Oreochromis niloticus: one gene and its partner. The protein of the gene in region 1 interacts with the protein of each later gene in a pairwise test. Links are inferred from orthologs where the notes say so. Each region holds a gene or a part of one and is shown in the gene's direction. Other genes may lie near its edges. The genes, in order: mettl21a and protein ZBED8-like.

Evidence for each region.
Region 2: the proteins of mettl21a (region 1) and protein ZBED8-like interact in binary tests that used the Homo sapiens proteins (3 or more experiments, as listed by UniProt). The two-hybrid records come from large-scale screens. The link is inferred for Oreochromis niloticus from reciprocal best matches to the Homo sapiens genes METTL21A and FAM200C.

Annotation. Positions count from the first base shown.
Region 1 is NC_031986.2:22,784,152-22,794,947, reverse strand, and holds mettl21a (protein N-lysine methyltransferase METTL21A), read left to right. Parts: upstream 1-6,353; 5' UTR 6,354-6,676; coding exon 6,677-6,823; intron 6,824-6,920; coding exon 6,921-7,032; intron 7,033-7,756; coding exon 7,757-8,154; 3' UTR 8,155-8,876; downstream 8,877-10,796. Other genes in the region: cyclin-Y-like protein 1, read right to left, coding at 2,218-2,253, 3,499-3,599, 3,751-3,785, 3,875-3,949, 4,260-4,419; cyclic AMP-responsive element-binding protein 1, read right to left, coding at 9,908-10,052, 10,151-10,304, 10,566-10,748. UniProt on the Homo sapiens protein: Protein-lysine methyltransferase that selectively trimethylates residues in heat shock protein 70 (HSP70) family members. Contributes to the in vivo trimethylation of Lys residues in HSPA1 and HSPA8.
Region 2 is NC_031981.2:3,366,315-3,376,572, reverse strand, and holds protein ZBED8-like, read left to right. Parts: upstream 1-6,781; 5' UTR 6,782-6,794; coding exon 6,795-8,693; 3' UTR 8,694-8,700; intron 8,701-8,848; 3' UTR 8,849-8,863; downstream 8,864-10,258.

The DNA of each region.
Region 1 (10,796 bases):
TATCACAACAATTATTTATCTTTGGTTGAGTCCTACAAATACTTTGTATATTATAACCACTGATGTGCAAATTAACAAACATTTTGTTTCCTATATTATTAAGTACCTGACTCACTGATGTCCAAAAAACTGATCTGATTTTCCACCTGACCATCAACACTGGCCACCTGCTGTGAAAAAGTATTTGCCCCCTTCCTGATTTCTTAGTTTTTTTGTTGTGTATTCGTCACACTTAAATGTTTCAGATAATCAAACAAATTTTAATGTTAAAGATAATAAGTACATTTAACATCTAGTTTTTAAATGAAAAAAGTTAATACAAACCTACCTGGTCCTATGTTAAAAAGGAATTGACCCCTAAACCTAGCAAGTGGTTGTGTCACCGTTGCCAAAAGAATGGGAATCGAGTGTTTCTGAGAACTGTGGAGGAATTTTGCTCCACTCTTCTTCGTACAGTTGTTTTAATTCAGTCACACTGAAGGGTCTTCTAGCATGAACGGCCTGTTTAAGGTCACGCCAAAGTAATGCCATCTGATTTAAATCTGCATTTCGATTAAGTCGCTGAAAAACTTTCTTTTGTTTCAGAGGTGGACATGCTGGTGTGTTTCTGATCATTGTCCTGCTGTATAACCCAAGTGCTCTTGAGCTTCAGGCCATGAACTGATGGTTGGACATCCGCCTTCAGGATTTTCTGGTAGAGAGCAGAATTCATGGTTCCATCAGTTACAGCAAGTCGTCCTGAAGCAGCAAAGCAGCCCCATCACACTACCACCACCATGTTTGACTGTTGTTGTGATGATCTTTTTATGAAATGCTGTTAGTTTTATGTCAGATGTAACGGGACTCAAACCTTCCACAAGGCTCAGCTTTTGTCTCGTCAGTCCACAGAATATTTTCTTGGGGATCATCCAGATGTTTTTGGTAAATGTGAGACGAGCCTTTGTGATCCTTTTGGTCAGCAGTGGTTTTCTCCTTGAACTCTTCCACTCTTCATTTTTTCCCAGTCTCTGTCTTATTGTTGAATCATGAACTCTGACCTAAGCTGAGACAAGTGAGTCCTGCAGTTCTTTAGATGTTGTTTTGGTGGTTTTTGCGACCCAAAAGTGAAACTGTCGCTGCGCTCTTGGAGTAATTTGGATAGGCCGGTCACTCCTGGGAGGGTTCGCCACTGTTCCAATTTTTCTTCATTTTTGGATAATGGCTCTCACTGTGGATCCAATCCATGTTCTGTGGATCAAGTGGGGCCAATTACTTTTTTCCCCACACAGGATGAGTGGATGATCTCATTGTACAACTGTATAGTGACAATAAAGGCATTCTATTCTATTCTATTCTATTCTATGAGGATGAAGTAGGCTTGGATAACTTTTTTTGCCTTAATAAACAAAGTCATTTAAAAACTGTATTTTGTATTTACTCAGGCTATGTTGGTCTAATATTCAAATTAGCTTGATGATCTGTAACCTGTAAGTTTGACAAATATGCAAAAAACTAAGAAATCAGAGAGGGGCAAATACTTCTTCACCACACTGTATCTATTCTTTGAGTTGCCACCACCAAGTGCTGTGACTCTGCCTAATTTGGGTCAAGTACGGTTTGGAGTTTTATGGCCAAAGTTGCATCCTTGGATCACTTCCAAGAACACGACTTTAGGGAAAGTAGCTCCTACTTTCCCTAAAGTCGTGTTTTGACAGTTACTACATTTGAAATGCAAATACATTTCATTTCAAACTGAGATGATCCAAACAGAGAACTCAATGTTCAACGTATTATGGGCAGACATGAGATGGAAAAAACTGTTAATTTTAAAAAAGCAATCACAATCTCTTTTTTTTTATAATTTCTTTTGCAATTCTGACCTGATGCAAGCCACCTTCTGGTTTGTTTGTTAATCAGAGCTAAATCTCTGGCTCTCATTACCAGTGATGATCTTTAAAAGCTGTACCCATCTGGCACTTAAGATGATATCCACCTTCTGCATACGTCTGTCATTCATGCATGATGTATTTAGCAATAAGACAAGGCAAGTAGCATTTCCTATAGGACTTAGATGAAGTAATTAAAAATTAGCCTAAGTACTAAAAGCAGTCTTTCTTACAAACTTGATGACTAATGTTTGTAAATATCTTTGTAAATGTTTGTAAATATCGAAGTACTGGTTACAACAATGAAGAAAACGTTGCACTACCAAGAGACAATACTTCTGACATTTCCTACCTGTTTTTTATGTGGTAGTATATGGCCAGTGCAACACTGCAAGAGACAGAAATCAACAAAGAATAAAACACTAGAGCTGGATTTTCCCTTTTACAGCTTTTTATTTTTAAAAATAATTATTTTTACTTCTACTTTACAAATAGATATTTAGATCTTTACAACTGCAGCTATTTGGCGACTTTAAAAGTTACCTGCATTTCAGGAAAAACAAACAGAAACATTTGGCAAATAATTAAACAGTAGACTGACAACATGTCAGTAACATAATTGTGTATAAGAAGAGGATCTTAAAGGGGGCGGAGTTTCTCAGAAGTAAAGATGGGCCAAGGTTTAGTAATCTCCAAAAAAACCCAAAAACCTATGTACAAATTGGGGAACAAATTTAGAATAATGTGCATATGAGGAGACTTTGAATATCTAATAATATTCAGTACATAGTGATACTAAACAATTCACAGAATCTGAAGAAATATCTGTGCACAAAGGACAAGGCTAAAAATCAGTGCCCGTGATCTTCAGGTGGCACTGAATTAAAAACAGGAATATCTCTGTTATGGAAATTACTGTATGAGCTCAGGAAAAAATCCACAAATCACTGTTAAAAGTTCACCATGCCATCCACAAAGGGGGTTAAGCTCTATCATCCAAAGAAGACGTCATATGTGAACATGATCCAGAAACACTGCTGGGGTCAAATCTCACTAAAGAGGAGCAGAACCATCCAGCTTGCCTCTAAGATGGTACGAGGGGCGCATCAGTGCCTATTGAATTGGTAGCTTGGACATCTGGAAAAGCACCATCAATGCTGAAACGCATAATATGGCTTTAGAGCAAGATATGCTGCCGTCCAGAGAGCTTCTTCAAGGAAGTTTTTGCATATTTCAGTAAGACAGTGCTAAACCACATACTGCATGTATTACAAGAGCATGACTTCCTGGTAGAGAAGTCCAGATGCTGAACTTTTCACCAGCTGAAAGCAGCAGCTAGAATCTTATATCAGGACATCATTCCTCTCTCAAATGTCCAGCAGCTGCTCTCTTTAGTTTCCACACTTTTATTAAAAGAAGAGGGGATGCTACACAGCGTTAAACGTGGCCGTGATGCTGCCATCAAATTCAAAATAAACATCTGATAAGTTTAGAATGTTTTAAAGTGAATCAAATCTGTGTTTGTGGAATTTGCAAACCATTGAACTCTGTTTTTTATTCACATTTTACACAGCGTCCCAACTTCTTTTGTACTTGCGCTTGCAGCAGGACTGAGGTGAGGTCGCTCACTTACCATTTAATGGTGCTCTTGAGATTGGGCTGGCTGACTGTGCTGTCATCGAGGAATATGGTTGAACACGAGCTGTACTTTTTAGAAAGGAGTCCCGGGGACATCTGGCATCGAAAGCGTGACAATGTTTAGAGACAGAATGGAGGGAAAAACGGGTTTTAGAAACACATTCAACCCCAGAGAAATGAGATGTATGATTGTGAGTCATTTCAGCAACAAAAAGACCCATGAAGAACACACAGAGCCGTAACTTACGTGATTCATGTAGTTGCTTTTCCTTTTCTCGCGGACTGAAATTGGATAAAAAACAAAATCAAAGAGATGTAGGAGTTTCAGAAGAGAATGGGGTAAAATATTAAAGCATTAGAGAAATACTGACCATCTGTCTGAGACTTGTTGAGGAATAGAGTACTTGCTCTGGGGTGGTCGGATGGGTTGGCCTCTTGGGCCAGCTCTGTAGAAGGAAAGTGTTAAAAGTCTTCATATAAGACTACAGTGTTTGTCTAGGAGCTGCCACCCTGTTGCTGATTTAATGCTAAACGGCTCTTAAAGCATGTAAAACATTTAAACTGAATCACACTGAAGTGTGTGAATGTGTGTGTGAATGGGTGGATGACTGGTTGTGTAAAGCGCTTTGGGGTCCTTAGAGACTAGTAAAGCGCTATACAAATACATTTACCACTTGCAGTAAACCGGCACCAGGACAGGGCAACATCACCGCATGCAATCACATCTCCAAAAATAGCAAACTAATCTTCACACACCATCTGGAAGCTCCCTGTCGCTGATGTGCTGCAGATACGTCCCAGTGTCCTCGCTCACATCTTCGGTAGTAGTGATGGGACACTCCTCCAGCTCCAGCTCTCTCCTGTGAATCTTGGGGCTCTCTCCAGGAGAGATGCAGCAGGACACCGAACCTCCCATCGCTGACCTGCAAAAGTCCTGCAACAGCCAGCGCCGCTTTCCATACAATTGGGGAGAGACCACCTGCTAGTCTGGCAATTCTGAAGCTGCAGGAAGGTCTGCAAGAACTTTAACCCAAACCTTACAAGGGGTTGTTAGGAAATGTACATAAAACACTAGTTTTGCTCTGCCTTGGCGAGATCAGGTTCAATCACAACCTGGAAGTGTTCGGATTATTTGAAAATGTGCATGTTGTGGACCAGCACAGCCCTTGTGTTTTTGCTGCAAAGTGAACGATCTCGCTTCAGAGCAGAACGGGATCTATGCAAGGACAGCCAAGTGGGTATCTGCGGTATTTGCAGGACGGCTGACATATTCAGGGTGTGTGCGCAACTCACGGGTGGCGCACTTTAATATGAACTGCGTGCGTGGGCTGCATGGTTTTGGGCTGAGAATAACCGCTACCAAGTCATTTTACGGAAAACAGTCTAACGAGACAAAGTCAGCCGTTCCTCTGCCTCCCTCCATGGCTAGCCGGCTAACGCTAGCTTCCGCACCTCAGTCCACTGCTGGCTCCTCCAGCAGCGTGACTCAATCCATTTTCACTCCGGCTCAAGTCTGTGTCACCGCTGCGGCCCTTTCAGCGAGAGCACCGGGCGAATTCACCAGCCGGAAGGGTTTTTAGAGGAAACGGGGAAAGTGAACGGCCAGCGGATATCAAAGAGGTGTCCGGAGGTGGCGTTCATCTCGTCGCACTAGCGGGACACAAGCTTTAGATGTCAAAGCGACCGTAGCAGGTAAGTTCAGAGGTAATTTCCTGCTTTGGGTTTTCAAAGTAAAAGTCCGCTGGTGGTAACATCAAAAGCACGTGTGAAACTGTTAAAAAAACCAGATAGAAAATAACTAATAAAATATTTATTAAACCTATTCAAGCTGTCTGCTTAAAATAAAATAAAAGTGTAAGCTGTTGAATTAAAAATAAAATAAAAAACTTAGTGAAAAGAAAACTTCAAATGATTTGTTGTTCATATAAATAAAAACGTTTATGCTGAACACTCTTTCTTAACAGACACCTATAAAAGATAATAAGTCTTAAAATAATTTAAGCAACAGCCCATTTCAATACAGTTTTCATAAGTTTCTCTTGTTTTATCTATTTATTTTTATTTCAGATTTATTTCCAAATCTTTGCTCAAAAACACCATGCATGTAATAATTCAACAACCTTTTCAACAACTAGGTTTTCATTTTTGTCTAATTTACTCAACCAAGGCATGTTTCAGTATTTTTTGTGCATCAGTTATTTTCAGTATTATCAATAGATAGCTGCCATGGACCCGTAGCTGCAATAGATGCCAGTGGTGGCAGGTTCTTACTAAGAAAATATCCACCACTGTGCAGCCTTTTCATATTCGATGAAAATATGTATTTTTTTTTCTTTTTTATTTCTTATGTCTATACTGTCAGCACAGAGTCTCTTCACGCAGATCAAAAACCCTTTATTTGCAGTACACCGGAAGCTACATCGCTGCTATGTGTTGCTACCTTTACAGACCTGCTGGGTTTTTTTCAGACCACGCCCCCCTCGATTTTAGCTAAAACACAACACCGTTAATCTCCAAAAGTTGAATCTGTTCATCTGGACGTAGCGTTTTGTGGGAGAAACGTTTCGTCACTCATCCAAGTGACTTCTTCAGTCTCAGCTGACTGCAGTTTTCCCCAACCCTTATAAACAGTACATTTGCATAATGACTGAAACCAGCCCACTGAAGGAACAATGGGCTGTGAGGTCAGTTCCTTAATCATAATTATGCAAATTCCCATGACCATTGATCAACAATCACTGACAACACCGTTAAGAAAATCTTGCAGACACGCCCATCACAAAGACTTACTCTTTTCCCATTGGTCACTTTTAGCTGAGCTGTTACGTGATTGGCTAAATTTGTTCGTTGACGTCAACACGGGTTGCCGTCTTCAGTTGCTTGAAAGCGAATAGGTCTCTCGCTCTTCAGTATTTATTAAAGAAAATAAGCAAACTATCAACACTTTGCCAACCGCCAATAACATTTAAGAAGAAGAAGAACTATCAACGCTAAAAGTTGGTTCATATACCGTAAGAACATTCTTTAACAAACGAATGAAATAATAGCTATATAATAACTCCAGAAGATGGCGGAAACGAATCAATGAGCCAGCCAGGTACGAGGGAAAGCGTCGAAGAAGGAGGAACGCACTGCGCATGTGTAAACGAGTGTAGTTTTATTTATTTCAAAGCATGGCTCTCGTTCCATATGTAGAAAACCCGTTGCCCGCGCTTTCCAAACTCCACAATTCATCAGCACAGTTTAGGTTTGCCAACCGCGACCTCCGACTCGCTCAGGACTGGAAAAAGCTCGGTGTGGCGGCAGTTGTGTGGGATGCGGTACGTTACAACAGTGGCAGCAGTGCTTAGCTTCAATAATTCCTCCATGTTTCATTAGATATATACATTACTATTGCATTTATGTGTTATTGCCCAGGCGGTGGTCATGTGTATGTACTTGGAGCTGGGAAAAGTGGAGCTAAAGGGGAAGAAAGCAATTGAATTGGGAGCTGGCACTGGTCTGGTGGGCATTGTAGCAGCTCTGCTGGGTGAGTGCATAATTACTAACCACCAAAAAACTGGAGGTGGGCGGATCACTCCAAATATCAGTAGTATCAGTACCAATGCTGCTATTGGTATTAGAATGATACTAGCCGAAAAGGATCAGCACTTTGTTTCAAACCTTTAAGTTCTGTATGTACACAAAAGAACTGTGTTAAATAAATTAATATAAAATAATGAAAAATATACACACATATATAACACATTTTGAGGAGTTTTTTGGAGACCTTGAATTTAAATGTGCATGTGTTAAAACACTGTAGGTCAGCTTAAGTTGTTTAAATGTGCTGCTACAGGCTTTAAATCACAGAGACGTCACAGTATGTATCGATCCTATTGTGCTGGTATCGAAGGATATTAATACCATCGATATTTGGGTTAATCTGCCCACCTTTATCCAAAAACTGAAGTTGTTTTTTTGTTGTGTTAACTCATTATCGTGGAAAATTAAAATGAAATTGATTTAGTGGTCATTAAAATTCGTTCAGGATTCATCTCATAAATCATGACACGCTACTCTTCGCTACATAATCTCCCTTAATAGGTTTAAAGTATCCATATTGATATCAGCAATACTGGCCCTGTATTTACTATGTATCAGACCGATACCAAAATTTGCAGTATCTCACAGCACTATCAAAAAGCCTTCTGAGTGCGCGTCAGGTGAACAAGGAAAGCTGTGATAGTCCCACAACTCTAACCCTTCCGTAGGTGCCAGAGTGACCATCACTGACAGAGAGCCTGCGCTGGACTTCCTCTCCGCCAACGTGAAAGCAAACCTGCCCCCAGATTCCCAACAATCAGTGGTGGTCTCCGAGTTGACCTGGGGCGAGGGCCTCGAGCAATACCCAGCCGGAGGGTTTGATGTGGTTCTGGGTGCAGATATCGTTTACCTGGAAGACACGTTTTTGCCTCTGCTGGAAACACTGGAGCACCTGAGCTCAGACACCACTGTGGTGTTACTGGCCTGCAAGCTCCGCTATGAGCGAGACACAAACTTCCTAGGCATGCTTAAGCGGCGCTTCACCGTCGAAGAAGTCCACTACGACAAACAAAGAGACATACACCTATACAAGGCTTGCAAACTGACACAGAGGAGAGACTTGTGAACATTTGTTTGTTTTAATATATGAAATAAAATGTTTTAAAATCAGATTACCAGAAACACATTTATTTATTAACAGCTGCCAAAAGTGTCATATCTGAATAGCTCTAACGTAATGCACTGTATTATTATACAAGTTGTTGCTGACATTTAGAAATAGTGAATACAAAAAAAAAAAAAAATGAGAAGCAACATAAAAAGCATACTATATCATGACTATACATAATACCTAAAGAATACAATATGGCATCCCATTATCACAAAAATATTTTTTCTTTCAGAATGCACCAACACCACCTGATCTTATAGTCATTTCACAAAGTGGGTGCAGTTGAGTTGTATCTGGTGAGCTTTGATGCTCCATTTACAAAAAAAAAAAACAAGTGATCAAACACATTGATGCAACAGCACTTGATTAACTGCAGATGAGCGGTAGATTTACCCAGAAAGCGTTGAAATGCTGAAGGATTGTAAATGCAAAGAAAGTGCACATGCTAGCTCATAACTATAAACAGAATTAAGAGACGGCGACCGAGGCCTCGACACACAGAGGGGCCCGGTATGGCAAATTTCCCCCTATGATCTAATTCCATGATTCCAGTGCTTTATCCACTTGTCTCTGAATTCTGCTTAAAAACTCTTTCATTGCATAACAAGTAAGGCTCATTAAGTTTTTGGTTATTGTTCAAAAATAATCCATGAGTCTATGGAGGGGGAAAAAAAAAAAAAAGGTTTTGCTTACAGTATATAATCTCTGATAAACGGGCAGCAGCTTATTTATCCATTATTCCCACTTCCTGTACTGTTGAAGGCCCATTTTGCCTTTGTTTGTTTTTACCACCAAACTCTGGTAATTAACAGGACGCCATTACGCAATTTTCCACTTAATGTTTCTGAAGCTTAAAAAAAAATGAAGACAAAAAGTCAAACATTTCTAGGGCTCTGTTAGAAGACCCTCCCCCCACCCACTTCACTGCTGCCCAACTTCTACCATCTCCTCACTGTGCTGCAGTTAACATGAAAAAAACCATTTTACAACTAAATGGTTAGCTTTTTGTTCACGTTGTATAAAAGCAAAAATATACTTGGGTAAAACAAAGAAAAAAAGAAACATGGCATTGTAGAAGCATAATCTAATTCAGAACAAACCAAAACACACATCTTAAAAGATAAAAACGTCCAAGACACAGGCCACCTATAAGTTTGAAGCATTAATAAGTAACAGATGTTAATTCGAGAGTTACAGATAGAAATGTTTTACGTGAAGTTACACTCTCCCAAAGAAAAAAAGAAAAAGTTCCATCATCATCATTATCGGTGGTGCTTGCGGTCAGTTCCCCCATTGCTGGTGATGTTGCCCAGGTAGTCCGGGCACCAGTGACTGGAATGCTTCCCTTCGGTGGTGTCCTTGGCGAGAACAGCTAGTTTCCCTGCTCTGTCACCTTGCCACGCAGACCCTGTTTAAGTTGCAGTCTCCTCCACGTTCACTGTGAGCACCGCCTCATCCTTTTAATGGGGGAAAACTGATGGTTGATTTCAAATTGCTCAAATGGGACAAAGTTTCAATTTACCAAAGTGGGATGGGGCTTTTTTTGTTTTTTCATACCTGGTGAGTCACGTTCACATATTTTTCAGCAGTTTTTAAAAAGAAAGCAGAAGAGTAGAAAAGAGGAGGGGGCATCCAGATGCATGGCTCTGTGCTGAGTCTCTGTACACAAGTGCTGGGGATCACCTGTCAAACCACCGGCAGGTGTATTCTACTCTGATTTGTGGCAGTACAAGTCTTTGAGGGCTTTCAGTTCCTCAATGAGGGTTTTGTTCTGGTTTTCCAGCACGGCCACGCGGTTCTCCAGACACTTCACGTACTCCTTCTTCTTCCTACGGCACTCGCGGGCTGCCTCCCTGTGAGACAAGAGGATGTGGGTACATGAAGGTACAGCACATCAGCTTCACACCTACAGAAGCAATTCAGTACGAGTTGCTAATTAACCTCGCCATACCTGTTTTTCATCAGTCGGACCTCCCGTTTGCGTGTAACTTCCTCAGTGGCTCCTGATCCGCTGATTGTGGGTGGAGTTGCCATGACCACCCCAGGAGTGATGGTGCTAGTGGGGGCTGTGCGGATTTGATAGGCCTGGACATCACCAGAAGCAGCTGGTGAACAAAGATAGACAAACAGTCAGTGCTTTATTCAGCAAAGCTTTACAAATCGTGTAGTTTCAGAATCAGAATCGTGTTTATTGGCCAAGTATATGTGCAGACAAATACAAGGAATTTGGTTCCGGTAGATGGTGGCTCTCGAGCACAGCAATGTAAATCACACACACGTATCTATATATACATTACACATGCATACACATACATACAGTTTTAGTGTAACTTCACTTCTAAACACTGTGGAAACCATTTTCCCACCTTGCACGACCACCTGGTTACTGGGCACGAGGATCTGCTGCCCGTCGCTGGTCTGAGCATACTGCAGGATGGTGGCGCCAGGCTGGGCTGCAGCAGTGTTGGCCATGGTGAGCGTCTGCAGGCCCTGCACTCCATCCGTGCCATTATTGGCCAGCTGAATGGCTCCACCTTGGGTAATGGCAACTGCAGAAGGATAAAATTGTGCATTAGGATTTTTAACCAATTGCTTTC
Region 2 (10,258 bases), on another chromosome or scaffold:
ACTGTCTTTATACTTTCAACTGCGACTGCAGTAAAATCCAAGCAGTCAGCAAAATTACAGATGCTGACTTGAATTGACTTGGCTGTCTGAAATGTATTTTTCCCTGAGTTTGCTTTGCCGCCAGAAGTGAGGCTTTATTAGAGGGTATAGAAATACAAAGTGTCCTTTAAATATTTGTTTTTGTCTTTGTTGTCAGCGTAACGCAAACAATATCAGTGCTGAGATACATTTAAATATTAACACGAGTGATGAACACACACATGAGGAAACTGATTTACTTTCCGTCCATATGACCTTGACTAGTAGTAAAACACTGGAGTAGAACACTGTAGATATAAATGTAATCAAATACATTTTATTGAGCTATTTACAGCTGTTTATAACTGTTTACAGTGAAACAGTGAAGCAAAATGGAGGGAATGAGGCTAGTAAAGGGTATTGTGTAAGGAAAAAGGGGGGTAAAGGATCAAGGTGTGATGGGGATACAATCAGAGGTGTAGGATTCTGGTTTGTCTCCTGAATCCTTCACACAGTTTCCTGGATGTGGTGGAGGTATGGGAGAGGGAGAGCTGGGGCTGGAGGGTAGAGGCAGTTTCTGAGAGGGATGAGTTAGGGGAGAGGAAGGTGGAGAGGGGAAATGGTAGGAATCAAAGTTTCTTTCTCCTCACTCCTCCTTCTTTCGTTGTCTTTCCTCTGCAGTTTCCTCTTCCCTCCATCTCCTCCAAGTCTTTTCCTTCCTTTCTTTTCCTCCTCTCCTCCCTCCTTCTTTTTCTCCACCTTTTAAGCTTTCTGATTTTTGTGCCACGACCTCTTCCTGTTCCTTTTCTAAAGTGCAAGCTGTTTGACAAAAAAAATGTAAGTTAAAGATTCTGTATTAAACTGTGAAACATTCTGAAACCAGCTTTTGGGATCCAACGGAACATTATTGTGAAATCAAACGATCAGCTCAGGCTGCGAACCTGAAGCTGTTGGATCCTGCTGATGAGGAGTTTTGTCTTTTTCTGCCTCTCTTGCTCCATCCCACTGATTCCCTTCATCCAGAAATTCTCAGAAAGAACGTTTCTCTCGTTCTCCTCCTGCCGGACTTTGGTTATGCAGGATTCCTCCTGCCGAGCAACGTTATCTAAGAGCAGCTCAGGCGCCGTTCCATTCTACTTCTTTTCTCGCAGTGGAGGAGGCCAGCGTGCGCTTTCATCCGAGGTGTTGGTTTTTCACAGATTTTTCGCTGACCTCGTCTTTTTGTGTGAGGTTGTTATGGAGCTGTCTTACCTTTGTTTCATGCCCATCTTCTTGGATAGCGATCTTTTCTTTGAGAGAGCTGTGTTCCTCATTTAGAGTTTTCATTTCTTTTATTGTTGAGGATCCTGCGTCTCTTAGCTCTTGCACGGTTGCTGATTGTAGCAGCTGGTTTGTGGGTTGCTGCTGACTGAGTGCAGTGTTGTCTCAGCTGATGCTCGCTGTAAAAGGCAGCACAAATGTGAACTAGGCCTAATGCCTGAAAGCATAAATGTAGCTATTGCAAAAATCCAGCCTGATTCTTATCATTAGATACACATAAAAACACAATGTGTCTACTTATGTATGCACCACATTCACTCCAGCACGCCACATACTGACACTTGGCTATAGGACCTGCTGTTATCCAAGGACAGCAAATGTTGCCACATGGGATTCTTAGGTTTCTTATTTCCACACTTACACAGACATTTCTTTAAATGTGGATTTTTCCTCGCTTGATTTGAAACACAAAAACTCAAGAAATGATCTCAAGCTATTTCAAGTTCATGGCAGAGCGACAGGTGGCGCTATAATGCACACTGTGAAGAAATGTTGCCAATCAAAAACCTGCAAATGATAACATGGCACATAATGTGACATCAAAAAAGGAGCTAAAGGCACCTTTGAAGATGTGGAATTAAATCTCAATTTTCCATATCCACATGTAAATGCAAAAATGGAGTTTTGGAAAATCTTCACCCTGGTAGATTTTCACAAGCGATCCAAAATGGCGTTTATATAAACTTTCCATAACACCTATGCCACTGCAGTAGCAACGCAGGATGAGAAGCACGTTAGCTGTTGCATTTGACAAGATCCTTAACCAAGATCAAGATTTGGCAAGAAAGCGATGACGCCAACCTGGTGATTTGGCCAGCTGAACCTTAGTGTCCAACAAATGCAGGTAGAGGCACCTGATTAGTCTTGGTGCTTTATGGACTTCCTGCCTAAACATAGGAAATGTTAAGAATGCCGGTCTGGTGTCATGTTGTGAGGACAGCAACCTCACCCTCAACACTGATAAAACAAAGGAGATGATTGTGGACATGAGGAAGAAGAAGAGGCCTCACCAGCCGTTGCTTATCCCTGAGCGTGAAGTGGAGAGGGTGAGCAGCTTTAGGTACCTGTGCGTCCACATCAGCGAGGACCTCACCTGGACACTAAACACCACACAGCTGCCCTCTCTGCAGAGCATCTACCATCGCAGAGTCCCGAGGAGCGCTGCCTCCATCCTCAAAGACCCCACACAGCCCCACCACGGACTGTTCACACTTCTCCAGACGAAGGTTTAGGTGTGAAATCCAGAACATCCTGACTCAACAACTCCGTCTTCCCCACTGCTATCACACTCCGGAACAGCTGACCTACCTCAACTGCAATTTGCACTTCAGACACTTTGCACACTAAGTTCATTTTGCACATTAAGCTCCTTGTGTATGTTTCTGTTCTGTGTCCTGTGTACTGTTTGTTTGTATATGTGTCTTTCTGGCTGCTGTTACAACCAAATTTCCACCTGTGGGGCAATTAAAGGATTATTCTATTCTATTCTATTCTATTCTATTCTATTCTATTCTATTCTTGTACATCCATCTACATCGACATCTGCATACCACACTTGTCTTCCCTTACTTATTTTGTACTTATTTATTTATCTTCCTTTATTTTTATCCATATTTCTCTTTATTTATCTTGTTCTTTTAACCCTTACCCACCTTGGCATTTGTGTATGGACAGCAAAGGAAAAATTTCATTGCACAGAGAAATGCTATTTCTTCTGTACATATGACAATAAACGCTTTGAATCTTGAATCTTAAGTAGTAAGTAGTAGACCCATAGGCACTCCAGGGCCAGGACGCGATGTGTCTCAGTGCTTCCTCCCCTCACTCAAGTGAAGCTGAGAACAGAAAAGCAGCCGAACACCCAGGAAAGCAGATGACTGATTACAGATCTTCCTTGCTGAACTTAAGCAGAATCTTCACTGAAACAGAGGAGCTGATGCTTCAGTTCAAACGGCCTGAGGCACAAAATGAAAAGTAACTGTCCACATACTTACGAACTGAACTCTACATATCACTATACACGGCGTGCAACGTGGCACAAGCTGTACAGCCTACAGTAGAGCAGAGTGACACCACAAGGTACAGTAGTTCTGGCATTTTATTCCCTGCTGCTCTGCTGTAGTCAGCCCTTTGGCTTCTCTGCTCTCTGCTGCCAAAACCTCCAGCCAGGCTGCTCGGCTCAAAGTGGGAACACTGGTCGCGGCAGCCAAAGTTTGATAAGCCACAGAGCAGCGTTCCTCTCCTCTGCCATCTTCACAGAGCTCTAACTGTGGTTAATAAAAGCAGATGATTCATTAGTGGTGATTAATATTGGGCTATGGGGACGTTAACTGCTGGCGATTGAGTATTTTATTGAGCTTCTTTTACTGTTGCACTCACTGGAAGTAGTTTGGGGCTGGAGCCAGATGCTTAAAATATAAATGTACAATTAGAGTGGACGTGGAGGATTGAGAAGCGTTGGCGTGCTCTCTGTAATGTAACACTGAACCTCCATCGTGGCGAGGATCACAATTTTATAAAAAATATTTTACTAGTCTTGGAGGATCTAATTAATACTTCTGCACACATTATTATACCCTCGAGGACACTGATACTTGCAGTAACACTAGATCTCACTAGTGAACCACTCCAAAGGCCCTTTTACATAAAGTTCAGCAAATACATTTAGTAGATGATGAAATGGTGAGTATTATTAACCCACTTAGCTCCAACCAAAAGCAGCAGTTGTATGGACAGAATAGCAACGACATTCAGAGTCCAACCAGAACCTTGTAGATTAGAAAGAGCAATTCAGACGTTCCTCCATACTTAGTGATGATAACTGCAAAAAGACACAGGTACTCAGCAGCCTCACTTTAATGTAGCAATATAACTGAGCTGTACTCGTGGGTGCAGATTGGCAACATGTTGCCAATCTGTCTGTGTTTATAAAGGAGTGGGTTAGGATTGTTCGATATAACGATATATATCGGATGATAATATGAACACCTCTATCGTTTCATATTATACCCTTTTGTTTGTTTCGTGGTGTCGCAAAATAAACTGTTTACGTGAATATGTTTTCACGGTTTTGATGGTCACTGTAGTAGCTATGTTAATTTCTTAAAGTTCTCTTTTATGTATTTATTATTTATTACACTACGGACGGACAAGCGAATGTGTTTACACGTTGTCATTAGCAACAATAACGGTAAAGCCGGCGTGTGGCTTCGCCGTCCGCTTGTTTATTTTCCACATAAACCTTTCACAATAAAGCTGAAGATCGTGTTGAGATTTTTCAAAATAAACTGAAATGATATACATTATTGTCAAACATCAAATTTCAGAAGATGCATCAAACAAATTACCTCAAATGAAAACATGAAGTAATGATAAATGGCGCTTATAGTAACCACATGGATGCAGGGACAGAGAATCCCAGCATGGCCAGTGAAGATGAGGCAGAGCCAGTTGGCTCCAAACAGAAGGACCAGTCAAAACAAATCGAGGACTTTATTCCTAAACGAGGGGCTACCTCTGTAGCATGGACATGGTTTGGTTATGAAAAGTCTGACACGAACCAGAAAACTGTACTATGGAAATTATGCCGCAAACCGGCCCCCACCTCAGACTCAAACATGGCAAAATAAATGTCTCATCAGGATATGAGATTTTGGTCATATCGCACATCCCTAGAGTCAGTAGTTATTTGCAAATCGTTGCTAGTCTGTCTGGGAGTGATTGCAGTCAGTCCAAGTTGGAATGCAATTCTCTGGAGATTGGTTGTCCTGTGCAGGCAACCAGAGGGTGGGGCTATTTTACGAGCAAAGAGGTGGGTATTTGGATAAAAGGTTATCCTCTAAGCCAGGGGTCGGCAACCTGCGGCTCTTTAGTCCTTATACTGCGGCTCCGCTTGGTTTGGGCAAATAAATTAGAAGTATTTAGCTGAAGTGTATTTTATTTATGTTAGTTCTTTTTAACTTGTAGTTCTAAATTGGAAGATTATTGTGATATTGAAATATAAAAATAAAATGATATTCTATTATTTTTTCATCGCTCAAAATAAGAGTCACACTCGCGGAAGCCGGTATACCCGCCGAAACGCCGTGCATTTATCGAGACTTTCAACCCCAGGTAGGCCAATTATGGATCTTCGGATCCACATTATGTCAGCAGCTGTTCTCCACCGTGAACTATGTTAAAGACAAACACCGTTCACGCCTGACAGATGACAGCTTACAGTCCTGCGTAAACTGACTTTGTATAGCCCCGATTTGCGGACTCTGTGCGCAGAGGTTCAGGAGCAGAAGTCCCATTGTAAACATATCACGGCAGACCCGACGATGTTTCCATGAGCATGCTTTTGAGCATCTCTTTATTGAGCACTTTTCACACACGGTTGCTGTATGCATACAGCCGGCTGTAGCTTTTCAGCTCACAGCCCGACAACACAACAGCACAGATAGCGCAGACTTTAAGGCAGCGAGGCGTGATTGCGGGTGTCGCTCAGGTGCGTCCGCCTCCCCTGCAGCGGCGCTGCAAACCACGCCCCGCCGCACGCATTAACTAGGTAAAATACATATTTAGGCAGAATTTTGCAAATATCTATTTTTCATTTTTCAGCAGCATAGTGCTTTTTTCCAATTATTTTTTAAGAGTCAGGTCAAGGCTCCAACAGCCCAAAGGGGATATAAGGGTGGGGCTGACAACAGTTTTTGTTTGCTACATGGATCATTTTAGTTCAGGTTGGTGTCTTTCCTTTTATTATATTTCTTTAAGAGTTCAAAATGTGTTGATTACATAAATATAATGTAATTTTCTCTGTAGCACTTCATGGATTTCATAAGCAACACACTTAAGTTGTTCACACAAAGCATAAAGATAAAAAACAATATATACAGTGTTATCTTCATTTTAGATGTCAAAAAGTATTTGCGGCTCCCAGTGTTTTCTTTTGCGTGGAAACCGGGTCCAAATGGCTCTTTGGGTGTAAAAGGTTGCAGACCCCTGGTCTAAGCTAATGTTGGGCTCGAGTGTCCTCAAAATCACACTTTCCCTCTGTTAAGTTTGATTACATGCTGACATTGCGTGAGAGTTTATTCGCTAAGTGTCCCACTTCAAAGAAAGTTTCACTAACGCCAGCGAACAGCACCAAAGACAGCAGCGCTTACCAAAAGAAAGGTTCCGGATATTCTCAACAACTCACCTCAGTATCGCTGTCTTTGGTCAGAATTGAGCTTCACTGACTCACTGACAAGTTTTACAGCGTTCTCCAGAGACATGGACACCTGACTCTAAGGCAGTGGTTCTTAACCTGGGTTCGATCGAACCCTAGAACCCTAGGGGTTTGGTGAGTCTGTCTCACGGGTTCGGCAGAGCCTCCACCGCGGAGTTCGCAGAGGTCCAGACACACCCGAATTATCGTGTAAATTTGTGATGACACTCCCCCTTCTGGCCATCACTGGCTGCAGACGATCATGCTACACTGCTTGGCCAATCAGGGCTGCGGGGAATGTAGCGCGCGCAGTAGTCAACATGTGAATGTCGTGGTAGTACTAAGTGTGATTTTTTTTTTTAACATTTTAATCCATACTATGTCGGGCAAAAGAAGAAAGTGGTCGGACGAATATGTACAATATGGATTCACATGTATCACGGAACGTGATGGGAGTGAGCGTCCTATCTGCATGATTTGCAATGCCAAGTTGAGCAACTCTAGTCTCGCACCAGCAAAACTAAAGGAACACTTCTTGAAGCTGCATGGAGACGGGGAATACAAGAACACAACACTTGCTGAATTCAAGGTGAAGAGAGCCAGATTCGATGAAAGGCCCACTCTGCCTGCTCTTGGATTTGTACCCGTTAGCAAACCGATCCTCACAGCATCATACGAAGTTGCTTACCTGATCGCAAAGCAGGGCAAGCCACACACCACTGGTGAAACACTCATGAAACCAGCTGCGTTAAAGATGGGAAATCTGATACTCGGAACAGCGGCCGAAGGTAAATTATCCCAAATTCCTCTTTCAAATGACACCGTCAGCGACAGAATAGAAGACATGAGTAAAGACATCTTGGCTCAAGTAGTCGCCGATCTGATTTCAAGCCCGGCAAAATTCAGCCTTCAGCTCGATGAGAGCACAGACGTTGCTAATCTAAGTCAGCTTACTGTTTTTGTGCGCTATGTGAAAGACGACATGATAAAAGAAGATTTTTTATTTTGTAAGCCTCTTACAACAACAACTAAGGCAGCCGATGTGAAGAAGCTTGTGGATGACTTCTTCAGAGACAACAATCTTTCATGGGACATGGTTTCTGCAGTTTGTACGGACGGAGCTCCAGTCATGCTGGGAAGAAACTCTGGTTTTGGTGCGCTAGTAAAAGCCGATGCACCACACATCATTGTGACTCATTGTATTTTGCACAGGCATGCATTGGCAACAAAAACCTTGCCTCCAAAAATGGCAGAAGTATTAAAAACTGTGGTGGAATGTGTGAACTATGTGCGAAATAGTGCTATGAGGCACCGCATCTTCAGTGAGCTGTGTAAAGAAGTGGGCTCTGAATTCGAGGTACTTCTGTACCATTCTAATGTTCGGTGGTTATCCCGGGGACAGGTGCTGAATCGTGTTTTTGCCATGCGTGTGGAATTAGCCCTGTTTTTGCAAGAGCACCAACACTGTCATGCAGATTGCTTCAAAGATCCTGAGTTCATTCTCATTTTAGCGTACATGGCTGATATATTCGCAGCTCTCAATCATCTCAATCAGCAGATGCAGGGTGGTGGAGTCAATATCATAGAAGCGGAAGAACACCTGAAGGCTTTTCAAAAAAAGCTAACGTTATGGAAACGGCGAACAGAGAACAACAACTTCGCAAACTTCCCCCTTCTGGACAACTGTGTAAGTAAGATCGAAGATGTGTCTGGAATCGGAGATATTTCTGTATCCACGGAACTGAAGCAAACAATTGCAACGCACTTAGATGAGCTTGCAAAGTCTCTCGACAGATATTTCCCTAAGAGAGTCATATCCAGCATGGGTGAGGCAGCGTTTGCTGTTGAGACAGCAGATGTCAATGATGAATACCTTGACGAAATCATTGAAATTCAGCAGAGCCAGGTTCAACAGCAACTCTTCAGAACAACAACGCTCTCAACGTTTTGGTATCCAATTATTGCTAAGAAAGCCCTGGATTTTTTAATACCATTTGTTACAACATATCTTTGCGAGCAATCCTTTTCGACGATGCTGGACATAAAAACAAAGAAAAGGAACAGACTTTTCTGTGAAAATGACATGAGAGTGGCACTTGCCAAGGTGAAGCCACGCATATCTGAACTGGTCTCTCAAAGGCAACAGCAGAAGTCACACTGATTTGCAGGTATGTAATTTGTTGTAAGTTCATGCATTGTGTTGGTTTTGTTCTTTGAACAAGGTGATGTTTATGCACGGCTCATTTTGTGCACCAGTAAAAAACATATCTATGTCTTGAATTTGAAAAAAATAAATAAAATTATTTTTCACTAAAGAGGGGTTCGGTGAACGCGCATATGAAACTGGTGGGGTTCGGTACCTCCAACAAGGTTAAGAACCACTGCTCTAAGGTAAACAGCGGACTATGTACTCGAATTGGGGGCAAGAAAACTGAATTCAGCTGCTACCAACCTAAAAGTTCACGTTTCTATTAACCATTATACTTACCCATAAGCATTTTGTTTTTTTCAGGGATGTAGTCCTTTAAAATGTCTCGATGCATGTTCAATCATCCAGGTAAGTAAATCCCAAAAGGTTGATTCTGTTCATCTGGACGTTTTCAGTGGGAGAAACGTTTCATCACTCATCCACTTCTAGTCACATGTCATTGCTGTGATTGGTCAAACTTTGCTTAAGTCCCTTCAGCGGGCATTACACCAGACTTGTTTAAGCAAATTAAAAGATAAAAATGTCCTGTGGAATCTTTTTGTAGATAAACAATAAAGTTTACACTTTATGTTTCTCAACAACAACAAAAAAAACCAACCTGATCAATAACTCCACTATTTAAAATGAGCTTATTTAAAGGATGTAAAATATGGTATTGTTATTCATCACCAAGAGCCAAAGTGAGGGCAGTCATGGGTAAATACATATACATACAAATTATCACGTACTCGTTTGGGCCCAAATTGCAGTTCTGTCATTTTCTGTCAATGAAAAACATAATTTTGGATGAACTGTCAGGGCTGGAGGTGATGAATCGGTTTCAACATTAGATCCAGTCTTCTCTTTAATTCTGCGCTTTTTTCACTCTCTGTCTGAAAAGGCTGAATTGGCTCGTCACATTCCTCGCCATTCTCAACCCCACAGATGGACAGGGGGAGGGAGGCCGCCAGATTACATTAGCAGATCCTTGTCCTGTTTCTTTCTTTCTCTCTCTTTTTTTTTTTTTTACCCCCTCCTTTTATATAATTTTCTATGCTGAGAGCTACCCGCCAAAGAGGGCCACCCCCGCTTCCCTTTCCAAATCCCTTCTGCACATATAACAAGACTCTCCACCTTTGGTTACCTCAGGTGACAATTTACAATTTAGACCACACAGAGGCTGTTCACACACGTACACACACACACATTGGCTAGCAAAGAGTCCTTAACATCCCGCCCCCCTTCTGCTTGACCCCCTTAAAAACCCATTTTAATCAGGGAAGGAACTGTCTACCCAGAGCAGCCTGAACACTTAATACCTCAAACAGGTTCATCTTGTTACCGAGCAAATAAATCCCGCTCACAGACACGCTGAGTTGAGACGTGGCTTTAGGAGGCCTGAGGGTGGTTTCTTTTGACTGCAGTGAAAGCATGCAGCGGCCGTGAGGCCCGATCCACCATCTCTGCCTTTGTAATATAGCCATGAATACAAATGGCCCCGCTAATTCACTCAAACTCCTAACAACGCTCATTTCCCC